2 linked regions of the Yarrowia lipolytica genome follow. The protein of the gene in region 1 interacts with the protein of each later gene in a biochemical or structural test. Links are inferred from orthologs where the notes say so. Each region holds a gene or a part of one and is shown in the gene's direction. Other genes may lie near its edges.

Region 1 (6,036 bases):
ATCCCTTCTCTACAGTATGGATATTCACACAGTTGTGTTCTACATCAGAAGCTGTACCGTAGGTGTAGCATAAGCAAGTATGACAAGGTACGGTACTGTACAGTGGATACGGCACCATCAATTGTCAGTTCTGTACTGTACTAGTACTCGTACAATACTGTACCATCAAGGGTCGGTACTTTACCATCAATTGTCAGACCATAGCGACGTGAATACGTCTAGCACCCAAGAGCACATCAACATCAACAATAGTATTGTATTGTACTCGTACTGCACTTTCCCTTCATCCCCTTCTGCCGCTCATTCCCTCTCCTGCTATTGATATCTCCTGCTATTGATATCTCCTGCTGTTGATATCTTCTGCTGTTGATATCTCCTGCTGCCCTCTCGCAGCTCACGCACAACGACGTCATCAGCGCTCGGAAAATTGTGCCCACATGGTCACCTGTGCGTTTGGGAGAACCGAGCAGGGGCCTGTACGAGCGGCTAAAGAGACATGCGCCTCTTACGTCATGGGCTGCACGTGATGTGGAGCAGCCGCTGGACACAAACCAACTTTCCCTTCGGTCAGCGCGTTGTCACGATACATGGACCCGTGCTGTACTGCCCTCAACTGATCCGGCCACTTGTGGTTGTGTTCCTTGTTGCGGTTTGGCGCGGGTTGGGATGATGCCGGTGTTTTTTTGGCGGGGAGCTTGTTGCACTCAGCACGTACAAGCACAGGCACCACACATTAATAATAGCAAAGTGAGCAGTGTGCATGATCAGCACGAGTGCACGAGTCGAGAGACTGAGAGGCGGAGAGACCAAGAGACGAAGCGAGTACGGGATATATGTCCGCGCCGACAGGCAATCACGTGACGGAGCTCAGCTCAGCAGCAGCCACCTTCGTCTACACGTTGGCACTACCTGTAGTACCTACCGTGTAGGTACACAATATGGGATATATCGTAGCACTCTCCATTTTAGGTATCTGATAAATACGCAACATGAAAGACGGTTTGGGGAGAAAGGAGGTGTGAAACGACACACAACAAGACACGTGACGGGCGACTTTGGCGGTTTGGCGGTTTGGCGGCTCGGCGGTTTGGCGGCTCGGCGGCGGGTTGACGGGATGGATAAGGCGTCCGCGCTCTCCTCCACATGACCCGCCGCGCCTTCTCCTCCCCTCCACCTCCCTCCAGCAGACGTGCTTGCGCTTTGCCCTGTTGGTTGTGGTGCACAGCCCTCCAGCTTGCGTGTTACTATTTATAAGTTTTTGGGCCATCCTGACAGCGCACAAGGTTTTGTTTTTAACGTGCGTCTTGTGCGAGAGTGTGCGGTGGTGTGTGTATTTGTGGGTGGGACTACCGGGACTTGCAGCAGTAGACAGCTGAAAACTAACTCACGTGAATTTTGTGTTTTGGTGTCAGCAAGGACCCAACTCAAAAGAGCCGGCCGTGTTTTTGTTTCCAACCAAGACGAGAACCACTGTTGTCCTTGAGCGGTCGCTAGAACCGGTATTTTGCTGTCCTCACGCCCTTTGCTCCAGCTTCGTCCATTCGCCCCCCGCCAGCACCGCAAAACCCCGCCAGACACACTCCCCTACTCCCACCACCACCCCTAAACCAGCCAGGGGAATTTGCGAGCTACAAGTCTACAAATAAGCACAGCTCACACACACCTCCACCGCACCCCATACAAAAAGTCGACCTCACACGCCCGAGAGACCGCCATGTCTGCCCCCGACGACATCGAGTCGGCCATCCAGAAGCTGTACAAGCAGATTGAGGTGGAGAAAAACATCATCCGCGGCACCAAGGCCGCCGCCCAGGCGTCCCAAGACTCGGCGTTCAAACTGCAGTGCCAGTCCAAGCTCACGGACAACCAGAAGAATGTCAACTACCTGGAGAGCAAGATGCGGGAGCTCAAGCTGAGAACCCGCCCCGAAGGTGAGTATCCGACGCAAACTGGCAAAGACACGCTCTCCGTAGCACCCCCACTAACCCAGCCATGGCCCCCGGCCCACACCCCACACAAAAACGAGCAAACTTCACCAAGCTCGATCTCATCAAGTACGACACGCCCTTCTTCGGCCCCCGGATCCAGCATATGCTGCAGCAACTGGAGTTCAAGATGAGCGTGGAGAAAAACTACAAGGAGGGCTTTGAGAACGCGCTACGGCTCTACCAGCGGGACCCCAAGAAGATCCAGGAGATTGAAAACATGCGCAAGGAGTCGTTGCAGAAGATGGGCCTGCTAAAGAAGTCGCTCAAGCGCTACCAGGACATGCACATTGATATTGACGACGCCATTGACAGCGACAGCATCAACGCCCCCAACATTAGACGTCCTCTGTCGGGAATCGTCACCATCACCGTCCACGCCCTCCGAAACGTGGAACACATTGCGTCGGTGCGTGGCAAGCGGCCCGAAACCATGGTCACTGTTAAGTGCGAGGACAAGCTGGTGGGCCGAACCAAGCTGTCCCGAACCGAGCGGTGGAACGATACCTTCCAGTTCCCCGTGGACAAGGCCAACGAGGTCGAGATCATCATCTACGACCGAGACGGCGACCACTTCAAGCCCGTGGGTCTCCTGTGGCTCACAATCAGCGACGTGGCAGAGGAGATTCGACGGCGAAAGAACGGCCAGAAGCTCGCTGCAACAGGTTGGGTCGCGGCCTCCGAAACAGCTGCTGGCGGTCATGCCGACCCTGCTTCGCGGGGAGGTGCCGCTGCCTCTGGTGCCACCGGTTCGGGTCTGCCTACCCTTGAGGCGCCCCAGATTGACCGGCCAGTATCTTCTGTGGTCAACTACGCAGGCCCCACCATCGAGGAGTGGTTTGTAGTGGAGCCCGCAGGCCAGATCTACCTAACTCTGGGCTTCGAGAAAACCAATCGGGGCGTCAAGCGGCCCCACGAGCTGGGAGGACTGGGTCTGGGCCGTCAGAACGCCATTCGAAAGAAGGAGGACGTGCACGAGATCCACGGCCACAAGTTTGTGGCGCAGCAGTTCTACTCGATCATGCGGTGCGCCCTCTGTGGTGACTTTTTGAGTGGAGCGGGTTTTCAGTGTCAGGATTGTCGGCTCACGTGCCACGGCAAGTGCTACTCCAAGGTGGTCACCAAGTGCATCTCCAAGTCGTCCACCGAAACGGATCCCGACGAGGAGAAGCTTAACCACCGAATTCCTCACCGTTTCCAGGTCTTCACCAATAAGTCTGCCAACTGGTGCTGCCATTGCGGTTACATTTTGCCCCTGGGCCGTAAGTCTGTGCGCAAATGTGGCGAGTGTGGAGTCACTGCACACGTGCAGTGTGAGCACCTTGTGCCCGACTTTTGCGGTATGTCCATGGAGCGGGCAAATCAGATTCTCAGTGAGATCAAGTCGACAAAGATCCGACGGGCGTCCCAGCACCCCACTACGTCGACCTCGTCGTCCCAGCAGTCGACGCTGTACAGTGCCACTCCGTCGCACATGCATGTCAATGCAGGAGACAGAGATGGGAATGGCTATGGCGCCGGCAACAGCTCCGATCGTCTGTCATTGACCCCCGTCGATACTAACAGTAGCATTAATAGTACTGCGACCATGCGGGGCGAGCGAAAGAACACGGTGCGGCGCAAGGAGGTGGGTTCTGCTCCCTCTCTGCCTCCCAAGGAAGGCTCTGTGTCGTCGAGTGCAGCCTCTCTCGTTGGCATTCCTCCTCCTGGAGTGCCTGCCCCTGGCCCTCCTTCTGCTGTCCCCGATCGAGGACAGGCGTACCACCAGCAACGGTACGACCCCACAGCATCGACTCTGGACCCAAGGGCCCGTCGAGAGTCGCAGGGTTATGTGCTACCGACTTCTGCTTCGCCCAAGTCGCCTTCTCGGTCACCTCAGCAGCAGCAGTTTCAGTCGTCTCCCTCGCGCGACAGAGAGGAGCAGCCCCTGTATCCGCCTCGAAACTCTTCTGTGGGCGATATCTACCCCAACAGAGAATCCACACCCAGCCCGTCGCAGGTGCTGTCTCCTGTTGAGGACGATGTGAAGATGGAGGATGAGGACGCGTTTGACAAGAGTATCATCAACAACGAGCCTGAAGCCTCAGACGCCTCCGTCAGCTACTCGCCTCCCAAGAGCATGATCATTGACGAGCAGCACAAGAAGCACAGTGCATCAGGCTCCCTTGACTCAGGCTACCAGTCGCTGCCTGTGCCTGGCGTGCATGCTGAGCAGCAGCAGCGGGACGAGGAAGATGCGCGAGCTCGAGAGCAGCAGCACAAGGAGCAGCAGGCGCTCCGAGCACAGCAACAGCGTGAACAGCAGATGCGTGAACAGCAGTACCAACAGCAACAGTATCAGCAGCAACAGTACCAGCAGCAACAGGCGCAGCAACAGCAGGTGCAGCAACGACAGGCCGCCCAGCAGGCACAGCAAGCCCAGGCTGCGGCTGCTGCCGCTGTTGCTGCCACTGCGTCCCAGACCCAGGCAGCCGGCGCTTCCCCGGCTTCTCCCGCTCCTGCTAGCAACCGACATTCCGTTGTGGGCAAGAAGAAGCGGCCGCGAATCGGGCTGGACGATTTCAACTTCCTGGCGGTGCTCGGAAAGGGTAACTTTGGAAAGGTCATGTTGGCGGAGTCCAAGAAGACGACCAACCTGTACGCCATCAAGGTGCTCAAGAAGGACTTTATCATTGAGAACGACGAGGTGGAGAGCACAAGATCCGAGCGACGGGTGTTCCAGATCGCCAACCGAGAGTCGCACCCGTTCCTGCTCAATCTGTACTCATGTTTCCAGACGGAAAACCGAGTCTACTTTGTCATGGACTACGTGTCGGGAGGAGATCTCATGTGGCACATTCAGAAGGAGGGTGTGTTCAAGCCCGGCCGGGCCCAGTTCTACGCCGCAGAAGTGCTGCTTGGAATCAAGCACTTCCACGACAATGGAGTCATTTACCGAGATCTCAAGCTTGACAACATTCTGCTCACCCGAGACGGACATGTCAAGATTGCCGATTACGGTCTCTGTAAGGAAGACATGGACTATGGCCGAACCACAGGTACCTTCTGCGGTACTCCTGAGTTTATGGCTCCGGAGATTCTGCTGGAGCAGCGATATGGCCTCGCTGTCGACTGGTGGGCCTTTGGCGTGCTCATCTACCAGATGGTACTCGGACAGAGTCCCTTCCGAGGAGAAGACGAGGACGAAATCTTCGACGCCATTCTGGCCGATGAGCCCCGATACCCCATCACTCTGCCCGGTAATTGTGTGTCTATTCTGACGCAGCTGCTGACGCGAGAGCCCGAACGACGTCTGGGATCGGGTCCTCGAGACGCTGAGGAGATTATGGCGCACCCGTACTTTGCCAACGTCAACTTTGATGATATTTATCACAAGCGAATCCCCCCGCCGTTTGTGCCCAAGATCACGTCGCCCACAGACGTGACTAACTTTGACCAGGAGTTCACTTCCGAGACCCCGGCTCTGACTCCCGTCACCACCACCCTGACCTCCGCCATGCAGGATCAATTCAGAAACTTCACTTGGATGTGTGATGAAGCTATTTGAAATAGGTTAACATGATTTATGATGTTTTATTAGATGACGTGTAATACGTTTGTATGATGAAAGTATTCGTACTTGTATTGGGTTGGTTGCTCTCAGGAGAAATTGTTTTTTTCCTTGGTATCGCTTACGACATTTGTGATCCTGGTATGGAAGATAAATTGGCTAATGATAGGTGTTTATGGGGGTTTCTCCTGTGCAATAAAAGGACTTGTACATGCTATAAACTTTAATTGAAACATTAAATTTGTGAATATATGTATAAAGAAACTGTTTTCTGGGCGATATATAACTACTGGCACCCTTGTTGTGGTTCCTCCAGTATATTCCCACATTGTTCCGAGGTTTAAGTAAGACTGCATCCATAATGCATCTATATGCAGGTGCACGAATGTGTGGTGCAACTCAAATGTTGCCTTATATTGGGAGGTGTGGAGCAGACCAACCAACTCGGTCTCCCCCAAAAATGCCTGGTATTGTCGCTGAAATCGTGTACTTCAGTTTTTG
Region 2 (2,997 bases), on another chromosome or scaffold:
CCCAGATCGGCGTTGAACTTCTGTCGGGCCGCCATACGCTCCGTCTTGGCATCCTTGGGCAAATCGCCATAGTAGGACGCCAGAGAATGGACGTGGGTGGGGATTCCGGCCGTTTGTGCTCGCTCCAGTCCATAAGCGGTCGGAGACGACGAAATGACGAGCGAGATGCGGGGGCCGATTTCTGCGTCGTCAATGAGTGCCTGGAGATTGGTTCCCGACCCGGAAATCAGCACAATGATGTCTTTGGTCATGTTGTGTGGGGGTGTAATGGAGTGACGATAATTTTTTTTGCCGTGACCTCTTTTTTTGGTAAGTAAAAAATAAGGTTCATTGTGATGGAAATTAAACTTTGGCCGATAATGTAGTACAATGGAGGACAGGGAGGCATTATACGGACCGAATTTGTATGGCGCGGGGCGGTTCTTGTGAAGGAACCTGTGTTGGTCACGTGATTGGATATATCCCCTTTTTTCGGCTCATTCGGAGCTTTCTATCAGGCTCAGAAACGGATCACTTCTTTCTGCACAATTTACACGGGGTGCAGGATAGTGTAGATAATGTAGAAGAACAGGAGCGCATTTTTCGGTGTTTGAGAGGAGCAGAAGAGATGAGAAGAGTTGCTATTGGGTATTAGCCGGCTGGTGAATACATTTTTTGTCTGTAATTTTTCATTTGGACCGCCGCTTAGCGAGATCCGGACTTATCCAGAACGTGATTGGTTGGTGGGGTGTGAAAAGTTAATTTTGGCTGTGGAAAATGAACATGACGAGATATTGGGGGTTTTTGGAAGTGAAAAAAGTCCAACAAGAGATTGAGCAGAATAAATACGGTGTTTTTTATCTCCTGAAAGTTTCAGAAATCCAATACGACCTAAATAGACGCTTCTAGAGTGAATCTATTCTGATGCAGGGAAGATGGCCACTAGGAGGAACATAGTGGATGAAGTAATCTTCATATTGAGATATATTTTGGTCTGATGAGTCTTTGGCACAGTTTATTTGTTCAGCCAAAAATTCACCCAATTCCACCGGCCAGATTCCAAGTTAGATACTTCATCTCTACGACCCGAGTAACTGTATGCATGATCATAGAGGTAGTAATAGTGGGGTGAAAAATGGACTTAGAGAGATTAGGAAGTGATATAAGAGATTTATTGATCCATTTAGAAGTCGATTATCAAATCCAAAATTCCATATTAGCTCAACAACAGTCTCAAATCTGTGGAATCATGCGTATTTTGTCCCTCGCATTATAGATGGTCGATCGATTGCTGAGCATTTGAAGACATTTATAACTCAAGTGAGACATAATTTGGACACTCATTGACAGAAATCACACTTTTGCCACTTGTCTCATCCCCATATACAATTTCACATCTACGTATCTCTCCCCCTTAGCCACTCTACAACACCGCGACTTAATACCCCATCAAACTCGCCCAAAAATGACCATGTTTATGTTTCAAACATACCATTCGATTCCCCACACCTCCCTGACTCCAATTATACTACTATTATCCCCCAAATCCCTCGCCCTCAGGATTTAATTTCCCCCCAGACCCCTTTTCTCTTCGATTACTAATCAGCGTTGTGAAACCTTAATTTGGGCACTCCACCGTAGACTGTGAATTTTCGTTCCTAGCTCACCACCACCCTGCGATACACGTTAGTGGAGCAGCAAACAACGCCAGCGGGTTCATAACGTCAGCGCTAATCCTGTTAATCACGTGACCTGAAGAGGGAAATAGACTCTTGCCGCCGCCAAATTCTTCCCCGCCAAACTCTCTGCGCCCAAGTCCCGACGTCACTCTCATTACCATGGAAAGCAGCCCCGACTTCCTTCCAGAATCGGATGGAGACACAGAAGTGGAACTGCTGCCCAACCTCAAGCTTGCGGGCGTCACGGAGCCACGCCGACGCGAAAAACCCGTGTTGAAACCGCCCAAAACCGCAGATGCAGAGAACATTCCGTTACCTCCTTCTCCTCCCCCGTTATCGTCTCCTTCGGAGATTTATTCGAATCTGCTAATCCTGGAGGAGTCTCTGAGACAGCAGTATCTCAACCAGCGGCAATCGCAGCGTAAGTACTCGACATTTTACTTTGTTTTGCTGAGTTTGACGGCGTATTTGGTCTACTCTCAGATCTACCCTTCCATTTATTCCTACGTCTTCTTTTTCCATCGCTTCTGTCTGATTGCGGTTCTGTCAACTCTGGGACTGTTTCATCTCTCTGGAATGTACACCAAGAAACTGGTTTACCCAAGGAAGTTCATATACAACTCAAATCGAGGTCTCCGCGGGTTCAATGTCAAGTTGGTGAAAACGGGAGGCTACTTTTCGTCCACCGTTCATTTGGTGCTGAATACAAGGGTGTTTAGCACCGAGAACATCGAGCAATGGGAAGAATACAGATTGGGGTACTTTGAGAGAGAGAGAAAGAAGAAGATCAAGGAAAAGAAGGAAAGGAAGGAAAGGAAGGAGCCTGTCCGCAGTTGAAAGAGAGAGGAAGGAACCTGTAGGCAGTACAGCGCGATAAGGCTCTGGAATCATTCCGGCATGGTATGAAGTACAGCCCGAACGAATTACTGCCCAACGAATGACTGCCCAACGAATGACAACCCAAACATAATGTTCTCATCTGTCTCTGGCGACACTTCTGACATCCAGTACACGGTTGTTTGCAGTTCGTGATTAGAACTGCTCTCTCAGAACAAACCCCGAAAGATCTCTACTGGACTCTGAATAGGACTGTCCCAGAGAACTACTAAAAGGAAGTATATTTATTTTAATGCATGTGGTGGATAATAGGTGTATGGTGGTGTTTATGGGATATGTACCATACCATATAGCCACAGTAACTCGATCAATTTTGACCGGATCAAAAAAAAATCAACGGAAATTTAACCAGCGAGGAAAATGAAGGAAAACTCATCTTGCAAGTACAAAATATGTTAGTGTCTTGTCTCTCAGACACAGGAATCGTCTGACCTGGGGGCAT

What was found. The genes of interacting proteins can lie anywhere in the genome.
Region 2: of the proteins of YALI1_F13339g (region 1) and YALI1_D03888g, one has a biochemical effect on the other in vitro, tested with the Saccharomyces cerevisiae proteins (2 studies listed by BioGRID). The link is inferred for Yarrowia lipolytica from reciprocal best matches to the Saccharomyces cerevisiae genes PKC1 and SPO7.

What each region holds. Positions count from the first base shown.
Region 1 is NC_090775.1:1,329,951-1,335,986, reverse strand, and holds YALI1_F13339g (uncharacterized protein), read left to right. Parts: upstream 1-1,714; coding exon 1,715-1,931; intron 1,932-1,990; coding exon 1,991-5,532; downstream 5,533-6,036. Other genes in the region: YALI1_F13355g (uncharacterized protein), read left to right, coding at 80-256, 394-861. UniProt on the Saccharomyces cerevisiae protein: Required for cell growth and for the G2->M transition of the cell division cycle. Mediates a protein kinase cascade; it activates BCK1 which itself activates MKK1/MKK2.
Region 2 is NC_090773.1:386,991-389,987, forward strand, and holds YALI1_D03888g (uncharacterized protein), read left to right. Parts: upstream 1-1,817; coding exon 1,818-2,495; downstream 2,496-2,997. Other genes in the region: YALI1_D03865g (uncharacterized protein), read right to left, coding at 1-181, 1,320-1,323. UniProt on the Saccharomyces cerevisiae protein: Regulatory component of the NEM1-SPO7 complex which acts as a phosphatase and dephosphorylates the phosphatidic acid phosphohydrolase PAH1. Essential for the formation of a spherical nucleus and meiotic division.